Astyanax mexicanus: one gene and its partner. The protein of the gene in region 1 purifies or fractionates together with the protein of each later gene. This does not show direct contact. Links are inferred from orthologs where the notes say so. Each region holds a gene or a part of one and is shown on either strand. Other genes may lie near its edges.

Region 1 (15,273 bases):
AAAATAAACTGTCATTTCCTTTTTAGTGCACTCATCACTATTGCACTATTGTCTTGTGTCTCACGTGTGTCTATCTGTAACCTTGTTGTATTGTACTTACTCTCATTCTTTTATATTTAGATTTTTATCTTGCTGTACTTGTAGCAACTTTGGGAAGGAGAGTAACTTAATTTTAATCCTCCGTATGTCCTGCATATATGCAGTATTGACAATGAAACTATTTGATCACTGTGCATTTACAATAAGCATCTAACTATATGCAAAACAATTTAATCATGAAGGTCTCAAATTTATCTGCCTTTTTACAATTTAGCTCAATGCCTTTTTTTTTTTGCTATTATCTGATATATAATTTTTGTTTCCAAATATGAAGCTCTTTTAGCTAAAGTAAGCTGTATATAATCAATAGGAACTTCACAGGTAAGAGGTTTTCTTTTTTTTTTTTCTTGAAAAACAAATCATATACAAGAGTCAAGACCTTTGATAATTTAATTAAAATAAATTGTAAAAGTCACTGGAACATTTAAGGGGCAAGCATGTTCTTTGTAACAAGCTACAACTATCAATGAGCATTTCAATAATATGGAGGGGGAAAAATATATATATAAAAAAAATATACTAGGACCATTAAAATAGGTATAAATAGGTAAACATCCACACATTACATAGCTGGGCTGCAGTCTTTGATTTTACAAAAAATACCACACAAGTAACTTGTAAAATTTTAAATCTGTAACGTACCTTCTCACCCAACACTCCAGAGCGAACCCTCCTGAGCTCCTGCATCTGGCCACCCACTCCCAGCAGCAGACCAAGGTGAACACACAGCGTTCTGATATAGGTGCCTGCCTCACAGCTTACCCAGAAAATACCTGCATTGTCAACCATAAAAACAGTCAGAGCTTAGTGGTGGTTGCTCTTGGTCAGACAGCTGGAAAAAGTGTGCATAAAATACATAAAAGCCATCAGTCTAGGGTGATAGATAGTAAGTCATCTTTGCACGTGTGCTATTGCAATCTGTTTCACATCATGTGGCTTTTTAAAAAGAGTAAACAGTATCATCTTAGCAAGAAGATGAAGAAACAAAGTTCATACCAAGTCGTCTCTCCGGGTCATACTCAATCAGCTTGCTTTCATAGATGGTCCTAACTCGGAGCTGTCGCTTCACTGCAGCTATGAGAGGAGGCCTCTGGAAGAGAGCTCCAGTAAGGCATTCCAAAGCCTAGAGACCAAAACAAGCAAAATCCTGTCAAAATTTAATTTCACTGAACCTTTGCAATCAGTCATTCATAACAGATATGCAGATATGCAATCAGTCCCGTCAACTCGTCTTTGGTGAACTCTGGCCCTCCAAACCTGCATGGGCCTCCAGCATCACCTGCAACAGTAGAACACTGAAGCAGAGAAGAGGAGGCCGGCAGAGCCAGAACTCAAACCTAGAACAGGTGAGAGCTCTGGCGATAGAGAGGAGGGCCTGGAGACACTCAGAGAATGGATAAACAGGTTCATCATTTTACATACTGCATTTGGTCATATATAAATAAATACACCACAGCTGGAACACAAGCTTACAGTCTTTGTAGTTTGCACCAAATAGCAATTGTTCACTTCAATGACCTCAGCTTTTATATGCTTATATACACCAACATAAACCGATTAATATGCATAGGTAAAAAGAACATTTCAAAAAAACAGCGGGAACTGTAGTGGTTTAATAAAATGGCTATGCTATCTGTATTCTTGTTTCAGTTCAAAACCACAGTGCATGTAAACAATCCCAGTAAATATATATTTTTAATCTATCCATTAATACAGCCCCCCCAAATACGGTTATTTTAGACTAAGGTGCCCAAAAGTATGAAGGTTTAAATTTTTAACTGACAATACTTTAAATGAACTAATTTGTATAATGCAAATTTTAGAGACAGAACTAAATCTTTTACATACAAAACATTAATGGGTGGTCAATACAAGACAAATATCAATTTAAAGATACTAATCTATTACTCTCCCATTGTTTGACTAATACTGATGGATAAAATGAGGCCAATAGAAAAAAAAAACAAGACAAAGTTGATCAGTGTTCTTTAAGCACTGATAACCAAAAAAACACCACCAGAAACATAGTGTTAGTCATTAAAACAATGTATAATATATTTTAAATTTAAATAAAGTTCCAATTTGTTTCCCGGTTAGTCCTTAACATCAACAAACAGGTGTTATTTTACATTCAACACATACGCTCTCACTTACCCTTGCAAGCTGATGCTCATTTTCTATTGCATTGTGCAGCCGTACTATTCCCACATACTCTTTGCCTGAAACACACGGCAAGAGTAGTAAGGAGAGGCCACTGGTTTCACTGGGTGAGGTCAGACTCACTAATCACAAAACCAACTAAACAGAAATTCATAGAAAAAAAAGAACAAAAAAAAAAAAGACTAACTTACCAGCGCTCTGTTGAGACTTGACAAGTCGTGTGGCTCGGTCAACACACACAATCAGGCAGCCTGTGACCTTCGGGTCCAGGGTGCCGCTGTGGCCGGTCTTCTCCACACGCAGGATTCGTTTGATCCAGGCAACCACTTCATGAGAGGAAGGGTTAGCTGGTTTGTCCAGATTAATAAAGCCAGACCTGAACACAGAAACGTAAGATTTTAAAGTACTTCTACCAGCTCAAATAAAAAATATATATATTTTAATTTTACTATAAGCCATCAGTCTTGGGTGATAGATAGATGGTCATCTTTGCACAGAATGCTAATGCAATCTATATAAGATCATCATGTGGCTATTTTGAATGTGCTGCCTGTTAGCCTTATATCAGCTTACCGGACATAATCGTGAATGTTTCTCTTCAGTGGGTTTGAGCCGTGTGGCAGAGGTGTGTAATGTGCCGTCCTTATGTTCAGCTTGTCGAAGTTCTAGATGACAAAACAAAACAAAAAACATTAAAAGATAATCAAACAAGAACAAACAAGTACTAAAAACTTAGCTTGCATAGTTATTTATTTTAAATCTTAATCAATATTTATGATTTAAAGGGATATTAGCGTTAATATTCTCTAAAAATCTAAAAGTGGTGATCAGAACAGTCCGCTCGTCTTTGTTGGCGCTGGTCTGATCTCCCCACACCGGCTGTTCTGAACATCCCACCACTGCTCCAGTAGAACACTGAACCAGCAGAGGATAAACAGGCAACCGTAACCCTGCAGCCCAGAACGGACAGCAGAAGCCGCAGAGAGACAGAGCCGGCAGCACTCAGAGAATGGATAAACACGTTCATCATGTCACCTGCTGAGTTGGCCATGAAGGAAGACTTAGGAATTTAAGAGGAACAGTTACCTTCAATAGTAAAGGCCATTGAGAGGTGTCAAGCTTGGCAACTTTGGATTCAGGTTTAATGAGGAAATCGCCAGTTTCTTGGATCTCCTGAGGGCCAAACACAAAGCAAAACACATGATCAATGTGACAAGAAACAAAAACATGCAATGTCTCTCCCTGGCATATTATCTAAGAGCAAGTACTTAACAAAAAATATCTGCTGAGGTGTTAAGTACAACAAGTACTAGTCTAAAACTGCTCATTTGTTTTTTCTGGGGGTGATTGGGATATGAAGTTCTCTAGATTTACTGTTTATAGGCATGTGGTTTTAGCACATTGTTTTATTCATAAATTACCCATCTCCCAGATTCCACATAAAAATTTCATTCAATGCTTTCAGACTGAAAAATGCAAAGTCAAGCTAATATTCACATTTAAACAATGCTAATGTTCTGCCTTTCAGTGAACTTTACATTAAAAAAAAAAAAAGTACAAAAACTGTATTTGAATGATTATCCTTGATGTGACAGATTTTATATCTTGGCATACTCTACACCAGTCTTTAACATTACTGCTGGGTGATTTTACAAACAAAATTACGAAGCTTAGCTCTGCTAAATGAAATAATTGGAACAGAACAGCTGTCGTGTTTAGACAATATAACTGAAACCTTAGCTAGCTGTCTAGGTTGGTAATTATTTAACTGTTTGAAATTCTTTACAGATTTAATTCCCCATTTGGTTTAGTTACAATAAAAAATAGCATAAAAAGTCAGCAATAAAAGATATCAAACAAGCTGGTGTGAGATTGGTTAGTCCAACCTAATACTCTGACTTTAGATAACAAAAGTATTAACAGTATAATGGTTGATCAAATTGTCAAATTACCCCAATTTCATCATTGGAAATCTTTGACTTCTTCTTCTTCTCCTTCTTAGCTGATCCAACTGTGAAGGAAAAAACAACTATTAAAACAAGCACATTCAGCGAGATATTACCAAAGGACTTGAGCTCTACTGCCTAAACCTAAAAATGTTGTCTACCTACCCAGACATGTGAATTCTGGGTTAAATCCAGTGTCTCTCTCACGTGTATACCTGTCAGTATAATTATTTATAATTTACAGAGTCTAGCCACCTTGGTATAACATTAAAGCTAATAAAACTAAAGAGAAATATCTTAAATGTTTTAAAAGTAAAGCAGCTAGTAGTGGCCAACTATAGTAGCACAGCCAGCACTTGCTTAGTCCTTTTTCGACATAAAACAAATACGTCAGGCTGTATCAGTTTGAAAAAGAAGAAATTGATTTTCATACATTTTTTTTTTACTATCTAGTTTTTTAATTTCAGCCTTTCCCAAACAGAATTTCAAGAAAAATGAAAATCTTTTCTTTATTCTCATTTGACCATTTTTGTCTCTTTCCAAAATGGAAAAATCTGAAAATAAAAAACAGATTAGTTTTCATTTTTCCAGAAAACGAATTGGAAAAATTACACTGCACTACATAAAAAATTACACTCAATTTTCCATTTAGCCTTAACCACTCAGAAACACTGACCACGTTTCAAGAGACTAGGTAACGTTAAATGGTTAAGTTTCTTCTAGATGAGTTAACTAGCTAATTAACTGGATTGTGCAATCCATATTAAGAAAAATAAATTCACAACATTAACACTTATAAGAGAGCAATCAATTTAAATTAAAAACGACAAAAAAACAAAGCACAATGCTTCAGCATTTTCTTTACAGCTTCATGTAAAAAAAAAAAAAAAAAGCTGTGTTAACATTGCAAATTCAGTAGCCCTTAGGTTTTTAACTATTTAATACTTTCATTTTCTACCCCAGCTACACAATATAAATTATTCAGGAATGTTCAAATTTTGGAATAGAAAACAACCAACTGTACTAAACATGCAATGTATTAATAGGTAACTTAGTTAACAAATTGTAGCGATTTAGTGCCTTGGTGGTACAGCACCCACGTGGCGAACGCAGACAACACGTGGTGCACAAACCCAAGCTAGCTAGCTAAAATAATTTCCAAGACTAATTTAATAAATATTCTCTCTAAACTAATAATCATCCTTAATACGGCATTATCACTGACACGTTAAAAATGCATTAAGCTAGGTTTGTCAATTTAATTTTGATGACTAACTTACTGGGGAAAATGTAGGCAGTTAGCCAAGCTAATCTAGCCTAGCTAACGCCAAGTTCTCTAACCGGGTGTTAGTAGGTGAAAAATACTACGCTAGTTATCTTTGCAAAATACCATAAAATAAAGCGATGAAATAAAATATAGAACTAACACGAGTTAAAGTCAAGCTACCAGGCTTTTACACAGCTAAGCTAAAGAGTTTTGCTGGTAAAAGTCGGCCAAGTCATGCACCTCAGTGAGCTAAAGTAACCTTCAAACTAAGCTAAGCTTCAAAATACAAACAATCTAAAACATTTAAACAACTTTAAAAGCATTTTAGCTCCATTAAATGACATAAGCTACTAATTCTGCTCAAGCAAAGAGTCTTTAAAACTGCAGCTAGCTCCCCAAATCTCAATCTCCCCTGCAGCTGCGCCACCCTGCTCTTCATTTTCTCTACCTTCAGAGGTCTAACTATCTATTTACTAAGCTTTACACAAAGCTAAAACATATTAACCGCGTCCTAAAGATGCAGAAACTCACAAACGAAGCTATACAACACAAAAAAAGCTTTAGAAATAATATAAAACACAGAGTTCAACACTGCACCCACTTTCTCCGTCCGCCATCTTCCCCTGCTGCCCGCCGAAGACCAGACCAGCACGTGTGAAGACTCTCACAGAGACCCAAGTCTCGCGGGATAATTCTGCCTAATCTCGCGATAAGAAGGAAAAACGTTTTTATACAATGCTTGGGCAGCAGGTGGAGACACATGCCGAGAGATAAAGCTGCTTAATGTTGATGTATATAAACGAAGTACATCTTTATTGTACTTAAGTACTAGAATTTTATATCTAAATATCTGAAGTATCCGTATTTACTCTGGTATTATTTGTTTCTCCTGCTTCCACTTTTTCTCACTACATATTTTCAATTAATGTAACACTTTTAATCTAATACGTTCTTATGTGCTGCATCCAGAAGAGGATCTAGGATTTTTCTGAGTAAGGGGCCACAATATTTATAGAAGGGCCAAGTATTATTTCACCAGTCACACCATGTTCAAGATAATTTTATGTCAAAACTTTTACACAAAACAATACAAACAAAATAACATGAAATTGAATGCTACTAATGCAGCTGCCTTCAGATTGGACAACAGCTATGATTTAAGACGCAGTCCAGTGTACTTCAGTGGGAGAGGGGGGGCTATAAAGGAACAATATGCATGCTATATGCTATGAGTACGCAACCATTAAGATCATAATACTTTTCCAAGTGTACAGTAGTGACACAGCTATCCAAACAGACTACACTGGGAGACGGAGGCTATATAAGGCATGATAGTGGTTGAAGCAACTGTGACTTGTTGACAACTGCCACTAGCTGAGTAACTCATTAAACGGCTCGTCAGAATGATATGCCGGTAAAATTGACTGCAGTTGTAAGAAATCTTATATTTAGTAAAATGTGTCTAAAAGCAAAAAAAAAAAAGGAAGGAACCCTAATTTACCATGCAAATTTCAGACACATGCTAGGAGAAATAAACAATTCTTCTAGTGTAACTTTCCCAGTGTACAGTTGTGACTGCCTGCCTGCACAAACTGCAATGAGAGATGTGGACTTTATAAGATACGATATCCGCATGTATTTACATCATGATGGTGAGTCCTCAAAAACTCACAAAAACATCAAACCAACCATACTAAAACACCACAACACCTGCATAGCAATCCTCCAATCAAATTAAAGGTGATGTCTGTAAGTTTTGGGATTTAGGGCCCTCTCTGGTGAGAATGGGTAATTGTACCGAGCATGCGGAAGAATCATTTTAAACTGGTCGGGTGTGATGAGGTCTCCTTTCAGAGCGGATGAATCCGATTCCAGGTTATGTTCAGTCAGAGAGAGAGAGCGTGCTTAGTAAGAAACTTCACTTCTTCGTTTCTTTGGTTTTACTCTGGGTAAATGAGCTACTGAGCTCTGATTTCCCCTTCTGAAGTCGCCATTGCTCCACCAGCCACTCGCGTTCAGTAAAACTGAGCCGGATCCTCTTTTAGAGGCTGTGAATGTGACGTAAAGATGCGTGACATGGTCAGAAGAACTTCTGCGAAAAGTGACCCGACAGCCCAGTTTTAAGAATTAATATATTAGGCTTAGCAGGGATGATCATTCCAGCACACTGGTACCATTAAACACAATATTTTATCCCTTCACCACTCAGAAATGCTTCTGCTTTCAGTTTAGAAACACAATAATACGGACTGCCACTTTAACTAGATAGAAAATTAAATGCACCAATCAAATCTTCAGAAAAATCACTGGAGAGGAGTAAACCCACTTCTGTTCAGAATCTGTTCTGAGTCTCTCCGGCCACCAGGGGGAGTCCTGAAATAAGTGTACAATGAACAATGAATATTATATATACATGATCAACATTTCCCCAATAATAGGAGATGTAATGACAGTTAGACAAGACAAACGAAAAAAAACAACAACAATGTATGCAAGCTGTAAAATATATTTATTTGCATGGGGTGGTTTTGAGGCTTTAGTTGTGTGTACAATCATTTTTTTACACTACAGTAAAAATACAGTAAAAATAAAATGCCTGCAGCAAACAGACCTTCAAATGTACAAACTGCCTATTATTCTTCAGCAATTTGGGATCGTACCTGTTATCTGTACAACACATCGTGACATTACCAAAAACATTGACTTTGCTCTTCACAGTTTCCTTTGCTCACCCTGTATATGTATCCCAAATTCTGTGTCAACAACAGACCTCACAACCATTTTACATTATGGAACATGGAAATAAGAACTGCTTAAAATGTCTGTAAGCAAGTGCCTGATCACAGAGCAGCACAACTGATTGTATTTTTATTAAAATCACCAAACTGCAAAAAGCGGCAATTAATTAAACTGTCGCTCAAATGATCGTTTTTTAATTTAACAGTATTTAATTTAATTTAATAGTGAAACCTAGCTAGCTAGCACTCTTTAAACCTGTGTTAAGAAATGTAATTTTTACACTGACAAGACAAAAGTTATGGGAAAACAGAATGTAAATTGAAGTGTTACCACAGACAACAGCTTGGGAAAGGTCACACCTGCATAAGTTTTGAGTGAAGCTGAACACTGGCTAGACATGACAAAAGTCATGGGACACAATACTAGACACTGAACCATGAACTGTACCATGTCAGCGCATTGTATTATAGCAAGAATTATTTGACTAATTGACATTTTGTACAATTGGTGGATGTGTATTTTATAGTGCTCAATTTATTATACAATAATTAAACAATTAAGTGTTGTTTTGTTCTGAAACCTATGCGCTTTCATATCTGTGAACTTTGGACCAGCAATCTTAAGCATATCTAAGATGATATTTAAGATAGCTGTAAGGGGAAAACATATGAATTAAGAAAATGCTGAAGAAAACAGATTTATTTTGGCCACGTTTTGCATTCTAAATAGCTACAAATATTTATAAAATTCTATTATATACTATTCTGACCGCATACTGGACAACTGGACTATAGTCTTTAGTGAAATATAAGCTAGTCTTTAGTGAAATATAAGCAATACGCTGCCACTGACAATAAGTTACTTGAGGTTAAATCACAACATGGTCAAAGGTGGAGGAATGCTGATCACTCCCACATTGAAGTAATCTCCATTAAATCTGCTGCCTGTTCTGTTATCAGTTAAAGAACAGGGTCTGGTTCAGCAGCACAGGAAATAAACTCCTCCTCCTCCTCCTCCTCTGATGATGATGATGATGACTGATCCCCAAGAACTTCAAATCATCAGCTTCCTGTTCACACTGATTCATAAGCTTGTTCCATTTCAATATTAGGATTATTATTAAGACATTTGTTCACATTTTACCTCCTGGTGTTATTATTTTTCATCCCTTACACATTCCAACTAACGTCTGACATGACTGGCGATAAAATAAAAAAAAAAGGTTCCTTATTCCTTATTAGGGAATATTACAGAAAAACATACATTTAAGCACACACATTGGGTATCTGGAATGCCTACCAACGCACAAACTGTGAAATTGTACAGTCAAAAATTTTCATTTTGTGGGACATGTAGGAGATAAAAATATGTATTCAACATGCCATTCAAAATTGTCACAGTTGCTACGTCGCTGGCCATCTGATTATAATTACACCACCCCAACCATAATAGCTCCACCCACTTACTTTGAGAAGGTAGAGTTTCAAAAGATAAAAAACTAACAAACAGATACAAAACAAAAGAAAACAAAAAGCAACTGTCAGTTCATAGGGTGTGACTTCTTTTGGCTATTCTGAAAATATACAGCTCTGGAAAAAAATAAGAGACCACTTAAAAATGATGTGTTTTTTTATTTTACCAAATTAAAAACCTCTGGAATATAATCAAGAGGAAGATGGATGATCACAAGACATCAAACCAAGCTGAACTGCTTGACTTTTTGCATCAGGAGTGGCATATAGTTATCCAAAAGCAGTGTGTAAGACTGGTGGAGGAGAACATGCCAAGATGCATGAAAACTGTAATTAAATTTCACAGTTATTCCACCAAATATAGATTTCTGAACTCTTAAACTTTATGAATATGAATGTTTCTGTTGTCTTTGCATAATTTGAGGTCTGGGAGCTCTGCGTCTTTTTTGGTATTTCAGTAATTTCTCATTTTCTGCAAATAAATGCTCTAAATGATAATATTTTAATTTGGAATTTGGGAGAAATGTTGTCTTTAGTTTATAGAATAAAACAACAATGGTGATTTTACTCAGACATATAGCTATAAAAAGCAAAATCAGCAAAACTGATTCAGAAACTGAAGTGGTTTCTAAATTTTTTCTATAAGTGTATACCAAAAATTGATGACAAAAAGCAGAACATGAAGATGAAAATTGGATGCATAGCACCACATAGAGAGAAGATAGATCTTAAAAGACCATAATGAAAAAAGAACACATAAAGGTTTAATCCTAAATCATACACTACTCCCTGGTACTATAGTATTGAAGTGGACTATAGTACCGTCATTTCAATAAAGAATTATACATTTGTAATTGAACAAAACTGACAATTATTCATGTAAAAATCAGAAGTCTTTAACTATCTGTACATACAAATGTAGTTTTATTTTCCTTATATACTTCACTACGTAGGGAGTGTACAGTATTTGATATTCAGCAAGAATTGTTCTTAAAAAGCTCTGTTTTCTTCATTTACAAGACAACACTGAAAAGAGGGTTTTCGAAAATGTCCACCTTTTCAAAAAGCTTAATTTTCAGTAAATGTTGGAAAAAATAAAACTTAAACTAGAAAAATAAACTTAAAAGTCTAAGAATCCGTGTAGCAGAGAAGAGTGATAAATATGGAAAAACGGTGGGGGAGGTTGGAATAACGGTGGTCTATTATCATTTAAAGATAGAGGCACTCAAAACCGCTGTTCTAAACAGGGTTGTAAATGGTTGATGTGGTGCTTCTTTCTTGTGCTATTTTGACCAAAGCCTGTCATACACATTTCATTAAGGCCCAAAGTAGCCGTGACATTTAAGGCCACCAGAGAGACAGACCCTCTAAAAGTTCTTAACCTTTGATTTAAATGCACAAAACATGTATAAAGGATATGACTGATCTGTACCGATTACGCTAATGCTATTTCCGTTATCCTTTGGTGTGTCCTAGTGTTAGCTGTTTGCTGTTCAAGCCTGAAGGCCGAGGGAGCGGGCTGTGTTGAGCACGTCGTCTCTGGTCAGATAACAGCCACAGAGCTGGCGGAGCCCAGTGAAGGACTCTCTACCATGCAGCACTCTCCAGTTATCAATGAAAAGAACCTAAACAGATAGAAAAAGATTTTGCTTCTTTAGTTTTACACAAAAGCCAAAGCCTAATCTAGCTACTAATGTAGCTCACAAGTAAAAAATCTTGCTTGCTTACCTTGCCAGGTTTAAGTTTGACCCACAGCTCGTTCTCAGGCTTCCTCAGCTCAGTAGTTAGCTGTCTGTGGGCGACATACCAGCGCTGCACCACGTTGTGAGGAACCGTGTTCATCGTTGCACGGTCATAGTTATTATACCTAAACAACAAAGAGGCATTATGACAATATCATTATCACAGCATAAACTATTGAATATCTCAGTCAAAAAACACAGACCAGCTAGAGCAGTGCTACGTGCAGAAGCTCATTTTAGTGCTTCAAATCAGCCTTAAACAACATTTGTATTTGCTGGTGGACATAACAGCATTGCTTTCCCACATCAAGAACCCATGCATCAACAACTTAACAATGAATGCACCATGTCATGCCTTTTTACTAACTGTGAACTCCTGCACCAGTAAAGATTTACAGAATCAATTTTGTCAAATCCAGAAGACAAGCCAACAACTCTCTTGCAGCTTTAAGTAGGCAAGTCATTTGATGATTCGATGATAGTGTGCAAATCGAGTAGCTACTCCCATCTCATTTAAGCCACATTTTTTAAAATCTGTGTTATAATTTATTTCACTTTTCCATGTCCCATCTTATCTGAATACAGCTTGAGACTATTTCTACAAAGAGAGAGCTTGAGTAGTCAGTACAAGTTTTGCCTACCGGATCATGTAGACTTCATTGTTCCAAGGATAGACGTTCAGAACAGGGCCGATGCCGATCATGTGGTTTCGGTGGTGGCCTTGGTTCTCGATGTACTCGTGTTTGATGGGGACGCGTGAGAGAAGCTCAAAGTTCTCAGGTGATTGCTGGAGCACTTTGTCAGCAGCGTTAAATCCATCCACCAACAGAGTTCTGCCGCCTGTGCCCTCATGCCTTAGACAGTGGAACACCTGGATCCTACCATGAAGCCAGAGAGGGTAAAAAGAGTGTAAGTGATGCACAGAAATGGACAGAAAAAATCTACAGTGTTATTAGATTCAACTTTTTTGTCATTGTTCAGAGTACAGGTACTGAGCTATTGAAATGCATTTAACATATACACAGCTCTAGAAAAAAAAAAATAAGAGATCACTTCAGTTTCTCTGATTTTGCTTTTCATAGGCATATGTATTTGCAGAATATGACCTCAAATAATGCAAAGAAAACAAGTTCATATTCATACATTTTTAAGAGTTCAGAAATCAATATTTGGTGGAATAACCCTGTTTTTAATCCTCTTGGCATGTTCTTCTCCACCAGTCTAACAAACTTCTAACAAAGCTTTTGGATAACTTTCAACAACTCCTGGTGCAAAAATTCAAGCAGTTCAGCTTGGTTTGATGGCTTGTGATCATCCATCTTCAGTTTGGGAAAATCAAAAAGAAACTCATAATTTTGAGTGGTCTCTTATTTTTTTCCAGAGCTGTGCATATATATATATATATATATATATATATATATATATATATATATACACACACACACACACACACACACACACGCTTTAGATAATGCCATTCTAATCTATAAGGTGCAGTATTTTAAATTTCAGTAAATGTGTGCTTTGGCAACCAGGTAAAATGGCAATGCCACAAAATAATCAACTGTTTTAGCTAAAAAGGGTAGGAATACATAATTCAGTGTGTACATTATTTTTTAGTAGATTTTATATTGTTTATCTGTTTACAACTACTCTTTCTGTCTTTATCTTTATTGTATATCATTGCAGATACCTCATTATATCACAGATAAAGAGAGAAAGCCCTGGCAAACAGCTCAGGAAATGCTCATTAATCAGCTGCAGCACCTTATGCCTATTTACCATCTATTATCACCATTATTGATTTTTCTTTCAGAAGGAACATGCTGCTTCTAGTCATGTTTCCTAGCTACAGCCATGATGTCACAACCCTTCTAGGGAATTTGGCCTTCTTATCTCTTAATGTTTACAATCAACAGATTCGATCTTTGTGTTAATATGAATCATTTAGCCACACACTTTAGATAAGATGTGCTGCAGATAAATACTGAAATAAAAACATAATTTGGAAAAAATACTTTTTATACTAATACATATTGTACTCAATGTACTTAATTTAAGTACTCTTTTTTAGCGTGTTTCATATGTTATAACATCTTATATAGTGTGTGTGTGTGTGTGTGTTTGTGTACACATTCTGGACTGATATGCTGATATGTTTCTGTTTGTCTGCTTTTGAGGCGAACTGTTTTATAGTAGATAAATGTGATATGATTTGATTTTTTCTATAGAATGTGTCCTTTCATTTTCAAAGTTAAATAAGCTTCATATATACAATATATAGAAAATTAATTTGCAAAGTAGAATATATGAGAGATATAGGCCCTTTAGGTTAATATTAAAAGACTATAACATTGCTGTTATGTTTACTATACCAAACTCTCAAACCATGACAATGTTTGCATAGCCAAGATTTATTACTGCTCTTAGGGGGGTTCTTATAATGACGTAACACACATCTCTACAAAACCCCCAAGCTGGGAAAGACCAGTGTCTGCTGGGAGGCAGAGCAGTAGGTCTATAATTCACTCCACTGAGTGTTTTTTTGTCTGCAAAACTAGAATGGAGACGTGACCAATGTGGTGTAGCACTGGCCTGAGGGCAGAGGTGGTGAACTGTTGTCCGTAATCCAGGCAATTAACTGGATCATGAGCATTTGACTAGGAAAATCTACAAACCGCAAAGGACTAGATTTCATCCCTGCCTCAGGACATAGCAAAGCATACTGCTGCAAGCCTAAGAAAACAGGGGTTCACTGAGTGCATCTATACTGCATGGGAATGAAAGCACAGCTAACGCCTCAAACTATTCAGCAGTAAGAAGTGTTTTTTCTTTTCAATGCTTTCAGTGGGTGAGGAGGGAAAGGGTTCCTGACATTCTGCCAAGTTATTAGAACTGACTAAGTGAACACGAACTGGACCTGACAAGCCCAAAGAGCTCGTTCATGTACGCACCCACAAGGCTCTTGGAAGTACGAGGTGTCTGTGTGACGGTCCAGGGCCAGCTTGGTGTAGGCTGTGTCTCCACGAGAAAAATCGGAGGTGAAATTCCACATGCGCCCGTACATGGTCTCTCTGGAAACACAAGAGCACTTCAGGTCAGAGCAAATAGAGACAACTGAGAGCAAAAAGAATTTGAGATTCAAGTTTCTGAGACAATTAAGTGTGTAAATACCCAATCTCACAATGATTTGATTAATTTACAGTTCTTTCAATTATATTCTTTTTATATGAACAAATATCACTAACAAATCTTATAAAATTTGTCCGGAAGTAAACGTTCTTAGGAAGCTGTTCTTTTTGAGAAAGTAAAAATGATATAGATACAGCTCTGGAAAAAGCTCAGTTTCCGAATCAATTTCTCTAATTTGGCTATTTATAGGTATGTGTTTGAGTAAAATGAACTACTACGGACAACATTTCTCCCAAATTCCAAATACAACTAATTTTATTTAGACTATTTATTTGCAGAAAATTGAAAATGGCTGAAATAACAAAAAGATGTAGAGCCTTCAGACTTCAAATAATGCAAAGAAAACAAGTTCATATTTATAAAGTTTTAAGCATTCAGAAATCAATATTTAGTGGAATAACCCTGTTTTTAATCACAGTTTTCATGTATCTTGGCATGTTCTTCTCCACCAGTCTTACACACTGCTTTTGGATAACTTTATGCCACTGCTGGTGCAATTTTTAAGTAGTCTCTTTTTTTTTTTCCAGAGCTGTATGTAAGTAATAACAATATTAGAGTGAAACAGTTAAGTGAGACACAGTTACAGGTTCCATATGTCATTCTACAGCACATTTGCCCACAGATGTTGCAGGTGGACCTGTAGATCCTGCAAACTC
Region 2 (16,227 bases), on another chromosome or scaffold:
AACCAACCAACCTCACAATCATTTACTTACTTAAATCCAGGTGGGGACTTTTTTTTGGGCCAGGCAGTGTATAACAGTGATTTAAAATGGGAAGTGGGAGAAAAATAATACTGCATTAGATACAGAGACAGCATTTTAGTACTTAAGCACAGTAGTGTATATATACCTTATGGGAGTTGCTGGCTAGAAGGGTCCAGAGCAAATATAAAATGGAAAAAAAAAGCTTTGTTTTTTTTTTTAACTAGCAAATCATTTCTAAAGCCCAACTGCTTTCTACAGAATAAGAGGTTATATTTAACATTTTAATGTGCTAATCATGTACAAGTCATACAATTTTCTTGTTCAGTTAGAAAAAATAAAATGCATTGTGTACCATTTGAAGAAAACAAGTAGAATTATTTTTATTTTATTAAAAATAAGGAAAAAATAACTTTGTACACTTGTACACAACGTAGACTGACATAGTTATATGTACCTTAGTTCACAACTGAATATTTACACAAAAATTAATGGGACCACTACATGACTTTCACATAATCTATTTTTAAACTGCTTTTTTTTTTAGCATGTTTCTTTAACAAAAATATGTTTAATAATCTCTTCAAATCCACTTCAGACACATTTCCTTACAAAACTATTAGAATATACAGCTCCTGTTCAATCAGTTGAGTTCTGGCCATGAAGACACAACAGAGAAGGGATGCTCAGGACATTGTCCTTCTCTGAGTTATAATTAATTCCTTTAAAACATTACTAAATATAAAAAGTCACAAAAAGGGATTTCTTTTTAACATGAAGGAGGAGGAGGAGGAGGTGGTGGAGGAGGAGGTGGAGGGTGGAACATCATGCCTGGGTAAGGGCCAGGGGGCCAAGGTCCTGGGCCCGGACCCATGCCCATGCCCATGCCCATGCGAGGAGGAGGTGGTGGTGGTCCAGGGTAGGGAGAGAAGCCGGGGCCGGGGAACGGAGGCTGGAACGGTCCTGGTGGAGGGAACATATAGTCTGGTTGAAAGTGGGGGGTCCCTCTGGCTTGAAAACGAGGGCTACCTGGATGCTGAAAAGTGGGTGAGCCTTGGGGCTGGAAATGGGGGTTGGCGTGGAAGTTGCTGTGGAATCTGCCGCGGGGGTTATGATGTGGAGGGGGGTCACTCTGAGGGTTCCGATTCTGTTTTGGTTTTCTTCTGGGGGGTTTCTGAGGTCTAGGAGTAGGTGTTTCATTCTCTGTTGGACAAAAGACACCAAAATAGAAGAATTAGTAGATATTTCCCTGATCTATGAGATTGATTAAATAATTAAAACATGTTATTTGACTAAAAAGAAGTAGAAGCAATTAAGCAATAAATTTTATCACAAAAATGATGGTAAATCTGTCTTACAGGAGATAAAAGTAGTAAAAAGGCATGTTTGATACATGATGTAATTAGAAGTGTTTTTTTTTTTTTGTCGTTTTTAGAAAAGGAAAAATTCTAACTTTTCTCATTTCCCTTTATATAGCTACTAGAGACAGATTAAATCTGTCCAGTATGGAAAAAGTATTGGAAAAAGTATTGAAAAATTGTAATTTAGTAAAAGTACCCATCTAAAAATCTACTCGAGTAAAAGTAAAAAAGTACTCAATTTAAAATGTACTTTGAGTAAAAGTTACATAGTTACTTTAATTTATTTGATGTAAAAACAACAAATCATAAATGAAATAATTATTTAATTAAATAATTTTGACCTTTCAGGCAGTATTTGTTCAGACCAACCCAAGGTTATGGTCATATATGTGACTATAAACTGTATTTTTATAGTTTTACAGTTTTTTTTACTTGCCATTGCTATGAAATCACAAAAAAAAAAAAAAAAAAAAAAAAACTGTTGGTGGGCGCATGAGCAGTGCCGTAAAGAAGCTCATATCGATGGGTAGCATAACTCGACACAGCGTCTCTCCCGCTAACCATAATAATAAACACTGCTGGGAAAAGTTCAGCTGTGCGAACATGGAGAACAAAACTCAATTTTTTTTTTTTATTAAAACAATGGTTTTTTTTTTCCCCAGCATTTTATTTTTTTACTCAAAAATGGGGAGTTTTCCAAAGTAGCGAAGTAAAATACTTGTTTTAAAATGAACTTGAGTAAAAGTGAAATTACCTAATTTAAAAACTACTTAAATTACAAATTACTCATAAAATCTACTCAATTACAGTAATGTGAGTAAATCTAATTAGTTACTTTCCACCTCTGCCAGTATCATTTATTTTATTTTAGTCCTGGATATATGGAGATATTTGAAATGTCTTTTTTATTCAGTTTTTTGTCATATCACTCATAAAAATACCATGAAATATCGTGATATTATTTTAGGGCTATAAATCGCCCATCCCTACGAGGCACAGAGCAGTGTTTGGTGCTGTGACTGACCGGAGTCCGACTCTTCTCGGCCTTGCCTCTGTCTCCTCTGCTGCTTCAGCTTCTGCTTGGCCACTTTCTCCTCTTCATCATCACTGAAGTCCAGAGCCTGCAAACCAACACAGACCAACACACCACCATTAACACAATAAACCCAAATCAGCAATCTCCACAGGAAACACACGCCCTATTAACTCATTCACACACTACTCAGCAGGGAAGCAAACTTCAGTCCCAATCTCCACTGATTGGGGTTCATAGCTGTCTGGTACAAATTATCTAGTCATTGGTTGCAATTACATTAGGTCAAAGCTGCAATCACAATATAATTATAGTCAATCTACAAACAGCATTATTGATGGTATAGGCAGATTGCAAGCCTAAAATTGCTACTAAAGAACAAAAATGGTACTTCCAAGATCAGTTGAAAACTTAGGCTACGCTCACATTAAAAACCACATTGCTCAAATCCGATTTTTTCCTCAGATCGGCTTTGGCTACCTTGACGGTATACATTCACATATGTAAGTGACCTGTATCTGTGTGTAATCTGTGTGTTCACTAACAACAAAATAAATCTCATATTCGAGAGAAAACTTGTAGCTTTATAAAGGGAAATTGATTTGTTTGTTAGCAGCTGATATGTGGAGCATCTTGTGCTGGAGTGGAGAGTAAACAGCTGCTCTGAAGTTCATGCTCAGGTTGAGGAGGTGAAAAAAGGCCAGGTGGTTTGCTTTTGCTGTTTTTTTGCAGCTATATAGCTGCACAGCTGCACCAAGAGATGTGTGGGTACGAGAGAGAAGCACGTAGCACATGATTGTAAAAAAAAAAAAACGCATGAATTCAGTTTTGACCGTTCATAATTATGTCTCATGTCAATTGGATTGGATATGTATCCAATTTTGGACCACATATTAAAAGTGACTCAAAAATGATTTTTAAAAAAATCTAAGCAAAAAATCTGATTTAAGTCACTTCAGCCTGATAATGTGAACGTAGCCATAAATGCTGACAATGAGCAGCATCGTAAAACCTGATTGATAAATGTCAAAATATTTACAGAATGGCAGATCATTAAAGCAACACATTTACCTCTGGGGGAGGCTCCTGATCATTCTTCCAAGAAGCATCTGATCCTTTAAATCTACAGCAAGAAAAAAAACAGAATATTCATCAATAAGAGCAAAAACAGACTGCTGTTTGTGATCAAATGCTAAAGCTAACATAAGCAAAACACCAACATAAGGTATTTAAGTGGTAGTAGTTTATCCTTGAGTCTTTACATCCGAGTAAATATGACTGACTGAGAGCCATGTCCAAATATTCAGAAATGACGGATTACTCACTTGTTCAGCTGCTCAGTAAAGATGTAGTCTGTGAAATCTTTGATATTTGGAGCGAAGAAAATCGTCTCCCCTACTTTCAAGTTCTTCTGTTCAATGTCTTCGTGAGAGTTGAACCTTAAGATGTAGTAAGGCTGGAAAACTGGACCAAAGACCTCAAACACCTATAGAAACAAACAAAAAAAAGGACACAAGAGACACACTACTGACTACTCAGCTACAAAGACAGTAACTCAACACACGATTAAAGTCACAATGAATGTAGATCAGAAAGAGAGCAATTCTAATCCTAAAAACACTAAGAATATGAAATATCTGAAGCATGCTGAGGACTCACCTTCCCAATAGCTGTCCTGTCTTTGTTGAATAGGACACTGTCTTCATTCAGGGGTTGTGAGTCTTTCATTGATTCAACAATTACTACCAAGCAATACAAAAATCAAAACAACAGCAATATATTACTTTATATGACTGATATATTAAATTAATCATTTGTTATCTCTTCCTACACAATTACAAATAAAATTATACATTGATCCATTAAACAATGGTTTGATTGGTACTTTGAATGCCACAGTAAGAATACCTAGTTGATCTATGATGCTTGAAACAGTTCCAATGGGCTCAATCTGTGTGTCCTCAGGAAGGCTGATGTTCAGATTTTCCACTGCAGGGAGATCCTACACACAAACAGGACGGACATCAGTAAGAGTTTAACAAGACCAATTGTCCTACCCAGTCAGCTACAAGTCAGCTGTATATCCCCGAGTAGCTTCACAGCATGCTCGGAGGAAAGCGCAGCAACACATCAGCTCACAGACGACTCGTGCTGATCGCCATCACCCTAGGAGTGATGAGAGAAAAAAGCGCCATCTACCCAACCGGAGAGAGAAAGGTGCAAGCTGCATGACTGGGATTCAAATCGGCAATCTCCTGATCATAGTGGCAGCACTTTAGACCCTCTTAGTTAGAGTTAACTAATAACACCATAGTCCATATGTCTACATAGAGTTTAGCAACACACATTGTACAGCTGTTAGAATTAAAATTAAAGTAGAATTAAAACTGAAACTGAATATTATTAGTATTTGTTTATTACCCCAGTGTCTATTTCTCTATTTTATATATTTATGTATGTCTCCGCTGCAATTGAAGTGTCAGAGATAGATAATTTATTGATACTTTATTGATGCCAGAGAGAAATTACAAAAAAGATCAGATAACATGATACAGATTATAATAAAATAAAAATAAAGTATAAAAGTAGAGCCTTTTAATGTATGTGTGTGTGTGTGTAGTGTGTGAGGTAGTGCAGTTAACCACAGTAAAACAACAATGACCTCACCTCAATCAGCAGCTCATCCTGTGTCTTGACTGGTGGTGGCCTCTTCCCAGGAGCAAGATTATTTTCTTGGTCATCGTCTTGATCAATCTCATTCAACACTGAGCAAATGACTCCAGATGAGGAAGAGGAAGATGAGGAGGATGAAGATGAAGAAGAGTCTGAGTCACTGAAAAGGAAAAAAGTCTCTCACAAAAATCGATAGAACATGAAACAGCAGATTTGTCTGTATACTCAAAATATGGCTGATATATATATATATATATATATAAAAGTTTAGGTGCCATTTTTTTTCCATAAAACTAATGATTCTATATACACTGCCCAGCCCCAAAAAAGTCTCCACCTGGATTTAAGTAAGTAAATTATGTGGGGTTGGTTGGTTGATGCTGAAGTTGGTCTGCAGGTTTAGGTTCAGCAACAGTATGTGCTGAAAGAATGAGGTCAGCTGACTACCTGAATATAGACCAGGTTATTCCATCAATGGATTTTTTTCCCCCTGATGAACACGGCCATATTCCAAGATGATAAAAAATGTCAGGATTCATGGTGCTGGAATTGTGAAAGAGTTCAGGGTTCAGGGAGCATGAGATCATCGTTTTTACACATGGATTGAGAGAGTTCACCACAGAGTCCAGATCTTAACCTCATTGAGAATCTTTGGGATGTGCTGGATGGAGAAGAGCTGCTTTGTGCAGTGGTCAGACTCTACCATCATCAATGCTGCTGCAAGATCTTGGTGAAAAATTAATCCAGCAACACTGGATTTAAAAAAATCTTATGACATTGCAGAAGCTTATTAAAACAATGCCGCAGTGAATGTGTGCTGCAATCAAAGCTAAAGGTGGGACCTTTTTTTTTTGGTGGCGATTTTTTGGCCAGGCAGTAATGAAGCAAGAGATAAAAATAAATAATTTTAAAAACAGAATGTGTAAATAACTATGTCAGGTTACAAAGTTCATACACAGTTAAAACCTCTTGAAGATTGTTCTTTATAAACCATTAAAAAACACTGTATACAGGATCTACTAGTGTGAATTAGTGAGTCCGTGCAGTTTTTATAAGTACAGTAAGTACAGTAAGCTCGTTATGATGTATAATTTAAGTGTTTTGTGTGTTTTATACCTGTCTGAGAGATCTTCAGAGCTGTCATCTCTGTACTGCTGGCTTAACAAAGTCAAAGATCCTCCACCGCTGATGGGACTCACTGTGGCTTCACCCACAGCCTCGTTACAAGAGCCAGAACATGGTTCTTCTTTCAGGTCAGATACTATTATGTCCATGGGTTCATTTTTCTGTGAGTCAGCCTCTGCTGTAGCTGCATCAGGTACAGCATCAGGGTTCTTTAGTGAGCATTGTTCTGTAGCACTGTCAGTTTCTGGCTTCTTATGTTCATGTAGATTGTGATCCACAGGTACAAATTTAGGGCTTTGTTTTTCTGTAGCACAGCTACTGTCTTCTCCCGCTGATGGATTAACATGTACAGGTGCATCCACCGGCATATCTGCTTGTGGCTGAAAAATAGTGAATAACACATACAGGAAAGATGTTAGGATGTTAAAAAATATATTTATATATTTACAAGCAAAAAAAAAAAGAGTGGTTAATTCACTAAATCAGAAATGGGGCAACTCTAGTCCTGTAGGGATGAAGACCTACTTAATCCAGCACACCCGATTTAACTGTTAACTACCAGCTTTAATCAGTAGAGATTTATTTTGTGTTGACATTAGGGGTGGGCAATATGGCCCTAAAATAATATTACAATATTCCAGGGTATTTTTCGATAATGATATTCTAGATATATATTTAATTTTTTAGTGTTATTGCTTACAATATAAAATGGCACACCCCAAATTGAGATTTTCACTAGATTGTAACAGAAGACAACGATCAAACACTAATAGTTGAAAACCGCTGGAATATAATCAAGAAGAAGATGGATGATCACAAGCCATCAAACCAAACTGAACTGCCTGAATTTTTGCACCAGGAGTAAAGGCATAAAGTTATCCAAAAGCAGTGTGTAAGACTGGTGGAGGAGAACATGATGCCAAGATCTTGGCTGTGATTAAAAACCAGGGTTATTGCACCAAATATTGATTTCTGAACTCTTAAAACTTTATGAACATGAACTTCCTTTTTCTGCAAATAAATTCTTTAAATAATGTTTTTTTTTTATTTGGGAGAAATGTTGTCTGTAGTTTATAGAATAAAACAACAATGTTCATTGTAGTCAAACATAAACCTATAAATAACAAAATCAGAGAATCTTATTCAGAAACTGAAGTGGTCTCCTAATTTATTCCAGAACTGTTTATCCAGCAATTAAGTAAATAAATGATACAGGACAGATATAATATGTCTGGAGTAGATTTTCTTTAATAGGACAGACAGCATAAAGGTGTAACACAGCAAACAACAATACACTCTAGCTGGTGTGTTAAAAACAAGCAACATACTAAACTATGCAGGGCATGAGGTCTTCACTTCCAGGATCAGAGCTGAGAATCTATATGCCCCATGGCACTAATCTCACACAGAGATCTAGGTTCCTGCAGACTTCACCTCCAACCCTAATCCAGTCTACCTGATCCACCTAATTCCTCCCTCCACAAGTCCTGGCTGCGTCCCAAACCACATACAAGCTACTAAATTACTGTAATGAATGTAGCTACTTGTATCTAGAGTTTACCACGTTTGTCAATTTGCCAATTAGCTAGTAGTACAGCTGTAAGCACAACACTTTACAACTGGACTGGGTGGGTGGTGTTCTCTGAACTTAGATAGTAGCTGTTTGTGTTTTTTATTCAGTTTTCTAATCTATATAAAAATCAAACCAGCCTAATTGAAGTAAGCGATGGTAATTGTAAAAACGAAACAGACTCAGTAGCAGTTCACACTGTAGTAGATTAGTAACAGTAGTTCTGATAAGCTAAACTCTACAGGTTTAAACACTGAACACATTACTGAAGTCTAACTTTCAGAGAAAACTGATTTAGATCCGGTACCTGTGTGTCTGTGAGATCCTCCCCGGTTAAACTCTCCATACTGTCTTATTTTCGGGCTGTTGACTGAAGCTGGATTCAGAAACACTCAGGCATGCTAGTCACACATGTGGCACAAACACGCTTTCAAGCGCGCAGCTTCCGGAGACAATATTTATTTCAAAATAAAAGTCACCATATTCTCTTCAGTCGTTTCCTTAAAACAAGGTAACTTTATATTTAAACTCACGATATGATGTTAAAATATATTATTTAAAATAATAAGAGATGGGTGTCGGTGTTCGTGGTGGACATATATTATTATAATTATTATATTGTGATAATTATTAATATATTATTTAAAATATTTTCACGTCTTTTACACCTAAATAGAACATCATCAGTTAAAAACCTGCGAAAGCATTCGCAGATTACTAGAACGCTTTTTTTGTTCTGTCTGCAGTGAGTGAATAAAAAATATTAATATACTCGGGTATTTTAGCTCATTTATCATTTTATGCATTTTATGTCTAGGTTTTTTTTTTATGCATTTATGTTATAAAATAAAGTTTTTGTTCAACTGAATTCCATTGCTTGTGTTTTTGTACCCTATAGGTGTCAAAAGTGTCCATTACCGATTTGAGAGGCAGCAGATAGAGGTGGATCATAAAATACCATAAAATAAAAAATCCCCAAAATATACCCAGCTCCAGCCCAGTTCGCACCTACAGAGAGAAATAGCTTCCTTTTATTAATTAAATTAATTACATTTTATTAAATTAAATGGATTGGCCAATCTGTCATAACATTTTTGAAATGTAGTATTTTTTCTGCAAAGAGCAGGGGTTTAAAAATCTAAATTTACACAATTAAATTTGGCCATATATGTATAAAAACTGTATAACCCAGCAACACTAGTTTATTGCAGATATTACAGTCAAACCTCTAAAATCCACTGATTTTGTCTATTCGCATAGTGTAAAACATGCTGTCAGTGACTGAAATAAATATATATTTATTTTTATTGCTACTTTTATGAAATATTTATGGTTCCTGACCGGCAAACTCCTGTCGGATGATCTTAAAAGTATTCAATGATGTCTCTTCTTCAGTCTCTCACTTCTCCATCACGCACCTACAGTGCATGCAGAATCTATCAGAGTACTTTAAGGCAGTGTAAAATAGTCCAGCGCCCTCTAGAGCTCAGAACCAGCATCAGCAGTAACTACACAATAATCCGCCCAGCAGAGGGCGCTGCGCCTCTTTTACCAATACAAAACAGTTTATTTTACAACAATAACCAATTCTGCATCTAAATATTAAAATTTATGCAATAAACAGGTTATTAAATTGTATTTTTTTATATATTTTGCATTCAAATACAGCACCAGTTAAAAGTTTGGACACACTACTTCTTATTCAATGTTTTCTTTATTTCATTAATTTAAGTCATTTATTTCTCTATTGTAGATTCAAATATTAAAGACATGAAAGTAATTTAGGGACACATAAGGAATTATGGACTAAACAAAAAAGGTGTTCAGCCTCCACAATCCCCTGATCTAAACCCAAGATGATGAAAAAAATACTTTAGGTGACTTTACTCTACCTCATGAAGCCAATGAGTGTGCAAATCTCGTTACATTTACAATTTTAAAAAATCATAAAAAGAAAGAAAACACATTAAATGTGTATCTAGTACTGTATGCAGTATATATATATAAATATTTTTTGTTTAGAGTCTGTAAAAAATGTAATAGGTCATTATAAATCATAAAATAAATGCTAAATATTTGGTCTAAACTATATACAAAATTGCCCGAAATTTGTCAAACTGCACACCAATCAGTTAATTGCATCATTGAATCAGATTTTAAATCATGTGAATAAACAAGAAATGCAATGCAGTCCTAACGTGCTGATTTCCTGTAAACATACATTCCCATTTGTCTATTCAGTGCCTTCACTGCTTCCTCCTGGACACGGCAGCGGTCAGGCCTCTTATCAGACCCCTCCTTAGATGAGATTTTCCTGGACCCACACACCTCTTCTCTGGGTACCAGAGTCCTGATATCACTCTGAGGCCCGAACACACTGGTCTGAAATGTTGTCCAGGGCCGGGTGAGGGTTTTCTCTATGTTCTGCTTTGGCTCCAGAGGTGCTGTGGCAGGTCCAGGTTGTGTAGAGGTCAGTCTAGACTGATGAAGCAGGGGGGATTTAGTGAGGAGTCTACTGGTTAAACAAGCTCTTGATCTGGAAGCTGCTGGGGTGTCCAGTCGCTTCTTAACTACTGAAATATCTGTGTTAAAGACACTGAGAAAAAGACAAGAAATGAAAAATTAATATTTCTTACTTTTAATTTAAGTTATGGAACATTAAAACTCTAAAAGTTCACCAAACATGGCTCCGCTGATAAGCTACATTTGTTGGTAATAGATGAATTATGTAAATTAGATACATTTAGGTCCAAAAATAATTGGACAGTGACTCAATTATTATGATTTGAGCTGAGATGCAACTAAAGTGTAGACTTTCTGGTCTAATTCGAGGGGCTGAATAATAATATTCTATAAAGCATTAGAAATTTACAACCATTTTTATCCAAAGCCTCCTCATTTCAGGGGCTCAAAAGTAATTGGACACATGCATTTCACTCACTTAAGACAAAATAAAAGGTAGAAAGACCCACTGACCAAGAACAACTGAAGACAGCTGCAGTAAAGGCTTAACAAAGTATCATAAGGGAGGAAAACCCAGTGTTTGGTGAACATATCCATGAGTTCCAGACTTCTGGCAGTCATTGCCTGCAAATGATTCTAAATAGAGTATTAAAAATGAACGAAAATTTGATTTATGGTAAAATCATCATTTGTCCAATCCAGTGTGGTGCAATGCAGAGTCCAAATCATGAAGTTTGGGGATAGAAAGAGAAGACAAATATATATTTCACCTTGCAATATGGAACATTTCTGAATATGACAGCCCCACATATTTTTCAGTCAAAGTTGAAGACAGTAAACAAGAATAAAAACTTTTCTTTGGCAACTTAAAATAAAAAAATTTCTTTGGCAACTTAATTTCATTTCTTAATATACATTCATTCCTATATTTCAGACCTACAAAAGCTTTTACCATGTTATAATGGTTCTATTACATCTAGCAACAAGTTCAGTACTTACAACAGCATATAGTACAATCAATATAATACATAATGAATGGGTTTACTGTTGCCTGTGTCTGGAGAGTGGGTGGCCAGCGTTGAGAAGGTGAGTCAGGTCAGTAGCTCTCTGCAGTAAACTCAGAGCTTCTCTCCTTTCAGCCGCACAGGAGCTCTGCATTAACACTTTACCTGGAGAAAGAACAAGGTCAGTGAACCACTGGAGGCAACATAAGTCTGCAAAACTGTATTCTTTGTTTTTTCACATTGCATTGCATTGCCACAGCCAATCCCGGCCACTATTCCCATATATTATAATCAATCTCTCCGGGTAATAATAAAAAAATTAAATACTTAGAACAATATATGTTTTTTTAACAATATGCTGCATTGTATCCAGTTAAAATCACTTGGCTTTGTAGCATATAACCACACCAGCCCCTTTTTTCACTCACCGAGTTTAAGCAGAGTGTTGGTGAGGTCCTGCAGCATGGGCCTGGACAGGAAGGAGGTCATCCCCCAGCTCTTAATCACTCTTTCTCTGACATGGATGACATGACGAAACAATTCAGTGGCCTTCCTCTGAGTCCAGCTACAGGAAAACATGAAAAAAGATCATTTTACAACATTCTACATAGATATATATATATACAGCTCTGGAAAAATGGGATCACTTAAAAACGATTGTTTTTGTTCATTTTACCAAATAAAAAAAAACTCTGGAATATAATTAAGAGGAAGATGGATGATCAAAAGCCATCAAACCAAACTGAACTGCTTGAGTTTTTTCACCAGGAGTGCAGGCATAAAGTTATCCAAAAGCAGTGTGTAAGACTGGTGGAGGAGAACATGCCAATATGCATGAAAACTGTGATACAAAATCAGGGTTATTTCACCAAATATTGATTTCTGAACTCTTAAAACTTTATGAATATGAACTTGTTTTCTTTGCATTATTTGAGGTCTGAAAGCTCTGCATCGTTTTTGTTATTTCAGCCATTTCTCATTTTCTGCAGATAAATGCTCTAAATGACAATAATTTTATTTTGAATTTAGGAGAAATGTTGTTTGTAGTTTATAGAATAATGTTCCTTTTACTCAAACATAAACCTATAGACAGCAAAATCAGAGTCTCAGTTTTCCAACCAATTAAAACAGAGCACAATTACAAAACTACCTTTTTAACTCTTAAGGATGATGACAAACAGTCATATACAATGAAATCATAAAATAAAAATGAATAATAGATAAATAGAACAGAACAATATTAGAATGAAATGTATTAATATAATTATAAATAACAACATATAGGGTCCAATGCCTCTGTATGTAAGCCCATACTTCAACACTATCAAATTTACATTGCTATCATAATTAGCATCAGTTGTATAGGGCCCAAAATAGAACCCTGTGGAAATAAATATAAATATTTAAAACATTTTAATAAATATTTGAATTTTATAGTATTAATGAAATATTTTATATATCAGTGTTTTTCAGTCTGTGTCCAGATGAAGCTCCATGATCTAATCCCATTTTTTGTAAACTGTTAGCAGTGGGATAAGTAACACTGATGTATGCATATAATCTCCTGGATCTCTCACTCTTTGTCAGTGTGGTTGCTGTCAGACCAAATGTCGGCCAGCTGCTCCTCCACTGCTGCAACCAGGGGATGTTCAGTGCCATACCAGCGCCTCCTACTGGCCAAAACCGCCTCCACACAGCTCTCAGCTGCACTCAGCTCGCCAACAGCAAATCTGCACATAAAAAACATTTATACCTCATAAATTCCAAACATTTATCTATAATATGTTGATTTTTTTCTTCCAACATAAAATCTTTAAATGTTTGAAAGCACTATTTCTGTTTTGTACTAGGGGACCCTTTGTCAAATTAGATGTTGTTAGATTTAGATTAGATTATTGTCTTCAGACCACACGTTTTTTAAATTCAAAATAAGTGTCTCTATAGAGCGTTTACACTAAACAGATTTGGGATCCAATAATAAATTACTATTAAATTACTATAGTTATTATTATTTATCTATTCATTTTATTATTGTTATTATTCTTTATTTTGTGTATAATTGTATGACTATTGGGATTTAATTTCGTTTTTATTATTATTATTATTATTATTATTTTGTAGTTATCATCAGCCCTGCTTTTGCTTTATTATTATTTTTCCCCCTTTTTTCTTCCTTTTCTGGGTGTGTTTGGGTTATAATTTCTCTCTGTTATGTACAATTTTGTCTTTTGAACTTATTATGAAACAAAAATGTGACTAAATCAAATATAAAAACATTATTCAAAATAAGTGTTAGTTTGTTTAATTTTAACAAAAATGCAAACTTAAATGTGTCACGTTATATGTGTGTTTTCTAATTTAATATGTTAAATCCAGCAATAATTATTGGTTTCCAGGCATAGACCTTCTTTAACACTTTAACACGCTGTCCACATACTTTCATTTGGGTTAAGGTTAGGACTTTGGGTAGTTTTAAATAAAAGTAAAACTTTTTGTAAAAGCTTAAAGCTAGCCTGCTTTATTTTTTTTTCACAAACCCTCTGATGTGCCGGAACAGCCGGCAGCATCCATGTTTCAATGATGGGGTAGTCTAAAATTGTCTAGAGCAGTCTTCTTCATAAATTTTGTATCCACTTTGTGTCATGATGCGTCCACCACCATGCTTTACAGTTGGTACAGTGTTCCTGGGCTTGAGTATATAGCAGGCTTGTGCCTTTGGTAGTTGTTCCTGACCATATAATACTACCACTGTTCCTGAATTACAATGGGCTAACAATGACTTACTAATAATGTTACTGTCAGGAATTATTAAAATAAACAGTCTGCAGTTGATCTACGTATTGTTGCATATAATCACGTACTTGTATAGGCCTTGCAGTAAAGTAACAGTAGCTTCAGCACATGGGTGAATGCACTTGAGGCCAGTACTGCTGATTTCCTTTAAAAGTCCAGGAACTGTATACAAACAGCCTCTTTTCAGCTCTATCTGAGACAGAAAACACAGAAACTGCCCTGAAAAAGAACAAACATAAATACAGATGAGCACATCTACACACATATTACTGTAACATCCATAACACAATACACAAACACTATACAAACTGTATATCCACAGTTATGCTTTACTGCAGACTGACAGATCCTGCATCTGCTACCTTTTATCATCCTGATGTTCTCTGAATGAGAAGAACTGGAAACTGTAAGGATGTCTGCTGTTTTTAAGCCTTTACTGCTGTACAGCTCTGCCTCGTCCAGCTGCTGCATGTAGAAATAGAACTTAGCCAGCATGTTCTGCACTTCCAGCAGTGATCTCACGCTGTCTTCATCCAGCTCATCTGCCTGCAACATCAATAACAATATCAGAGGGGCTCCCAGTTGTCCAGCTAAGCATTGCCATCAGCTGCCAGAGCCCTGAGAGGTGGGTAGATGGCACTCTCTCCCTACAACACTCCAAAGGGTGATGTCGATCAGCACAAGGCATCTGTGAGCTAACGTATAAGAACCGCGTCGCTGCGCTTTCCCTTCATGCGCACTGTGATGCTACTTGGCAATGCTGCCTCAGCAGCAGTTCAAAAAGAGGTGGTGACTTTACATGTAGTGGAGGAGCCTTCACCTTACTTTACTATTGATAGGGGGAGTCCTAATGAGTGGGTTGGGTAATTGGCCAAGTAAATTGGGGAGAAAATGGGAACAAATCTCAAATTTAATCTAAAAATTATTTAAAAAAATACACAATATCAGAAAGATTTCTGAAATGTGTTGTGGGAGAAAACCTTTATAGTTACAGACAAAATGTGGCCTATGGTGCTCATTCAAATTTGAGGGTGACAAATTTAAAAACATAAAGCATAGAAATTCTAAGTATTAGTATTAGTAAAAACTAATGGTTGAAACACTATTCTTCCAAAACACAGTCTCACCTGTCTCACCTGTCTGTATATGTCCATGTACAATTTTAATATATTGCAAAACAAATAGAAAATCTCACCTGTTGAAGGACAGTTTCTGCTTCTGACAGTATTTTCCCAGCTTCTTCAGGCTTTCCCAAACCGAGCAGAAGGTCAAAGGAGAAAAGGGCTAACTTAACCCTACTGCCAAGATCTCGCTTACCACAACCTAAGATCAAATAGAAAACAATGTTCCATCAGTAGTATCTTCAGTAGATCAAATAATACCAACTTAAGTCATGATTTTGAATTAACTTAATCTTATTAATTTGGTTAGAAAATAAATAAATAATTAAATAAATAACTATTGAAAAGGGCCTACTCTTACAGTGGTGCCACAACAGTCCCTAGAGTGAAGCTTTTTGGACTAAAGACCATTTATATAAAGGTGTCCTATCACTAAAATCAACTTTTTCTTGTACTTTGTGAAATACAGTAGGTCTCTCTGAGTTGTATATAACGAGTCGATTTCTTTCTTTCTGGACCTGGACTACGCACCTCTGTGTGTAAGTAACTATAGGTTAAAATAGGTTTACTCTAAGACTAGATCAAAGGCTGAACTGCACTTAGCAGAGCATTACACATGTTGTAAAAATTAAAAAATGTCTTTATTTTAAATGTTTCAAACTGTTGTCCGTCTTGCATGTGTCACAGTGCTGTTAGCCAATCAAAGGGCGATTGATATGTTTGCATATATGAATATGCATGAGCAAAAGTCAAAATCCTATCGTTTCTCCCCCTCCACTCCTCCACAGGACTAAAGTAGCGTTATACCGGATCATCTGAGCACTTTTTTTTTACTTACATAAATACATTTTAAATTATTTAAATAAAAGTGACAACATCTCTGACTCTGTTCTGACCATTCAGTACAGTTGGTCTCTGGAGTGAAGAGACGGGGTCATACTCTCTTTGGCTCAGCAGCGTCCAATAACGAACAAGATCAAGCCTCAGCTGTGGGTACTGCCTCACACTGCTCGACAGGATACACACAGCTCTGTGGAAAATATGGTGATACGTTATCTGTACATGC

What was found.
Region 2: the proteins of dkc1 (region 1) and naf1 purify together in Homo sapiens (co-immunoprecipitation; 7 studies listed by BioGRID and IntAct, counting the BioPlex papers as one, with this or other methods). This does not show direct contact. The link is inferred for Astyanax mexicanus from reciprocal best matches to the Homo sapiens genes DKC1 and NAF1.

Annotation. Positions count from the first base shown.
Region 1 is NC_064424.1:18,989,872-19,005,144, reverse strand, and holds the start of dkc1 (H/ACA ribonucleoprotein complex subunit DKC1), read right to left. Parts: upstream 6,141-15,273; 5' UTR 6,090-6,140; coding exon 6,074-6,089; intron 4,271-6,073; coding exon 4,212-4,270; intron 3,433-4,211; coding exon 3,346-3,432; intron 3,295-3,345; exon of another isoform or gene 3,083-3,294; intron 2,925-3,082; coding exon 2,833-2,924; intron 2,793-2,832; exon of another isoform or gene 2,713-2,792; intron 2,636-2,712; coding exon 2,451-2,635; intron 2,319-2,450; coding exon 2,254-2,318; intron 1,518-2,253; exon of another isoform or gene 1,309-1,517; intron 1,223-1,308; coding exon 1,096-1,222; intron 1,037-1,095; exon of another isoform or gene 961-1,036; intron 873-960; coding exon 742-872; intron 1-741. Other genes in the region: tmlhe (trimethyllysine dioxygenase, mitochondrial), read right to left, coding at 11,177-11,308, 11,412-11,550, 12,067-12,303, 14,380-14,499.
Region 2 is NC_064409.1:7,205,784-7,222,010, reverse strand, and holds naf1 (H/ACA ribonucleoprotein complex non-core subunit NAF1), read right to left. Parts: upstream 8,222-16,227; 5' UTR 8,127-8,221; coding exon 8,088-8,126; intron 6,591-8,087; coding exon 6,202-6,590; intron 5,246-6,201; coding exon 5,080-5,245; intron 4,415-5,079; coding exon 4,321-4,414; intron 4,155-4,320; coding exon 4,072-4,154; intron 3,899-4,071; coding exon 3,738-3,898; intron 3,536-3,737; coding exon 3,484-3,535; intron 2,501-3,483; coding exon 2,404-2,500; intron 1,222-2,403; coding exon 788-1,221; 3' UTR 376-787; downstream 1-375. Other genes in the region: ttc41 (putative tetratricopeptide repeat protein 41), read right to left, coding at 9,974-10,376, 11,289-11,412, 11,676-11,812, 12,825-12,977, 14,109-14,259, 14,403-14,586, 15,236-15,363, 16,058-16,191. UniProt on the Homo sapiens protein: RNA-binding protein required for the maturation of box H/ACA snoRNPs complex and ribosome biogenesis.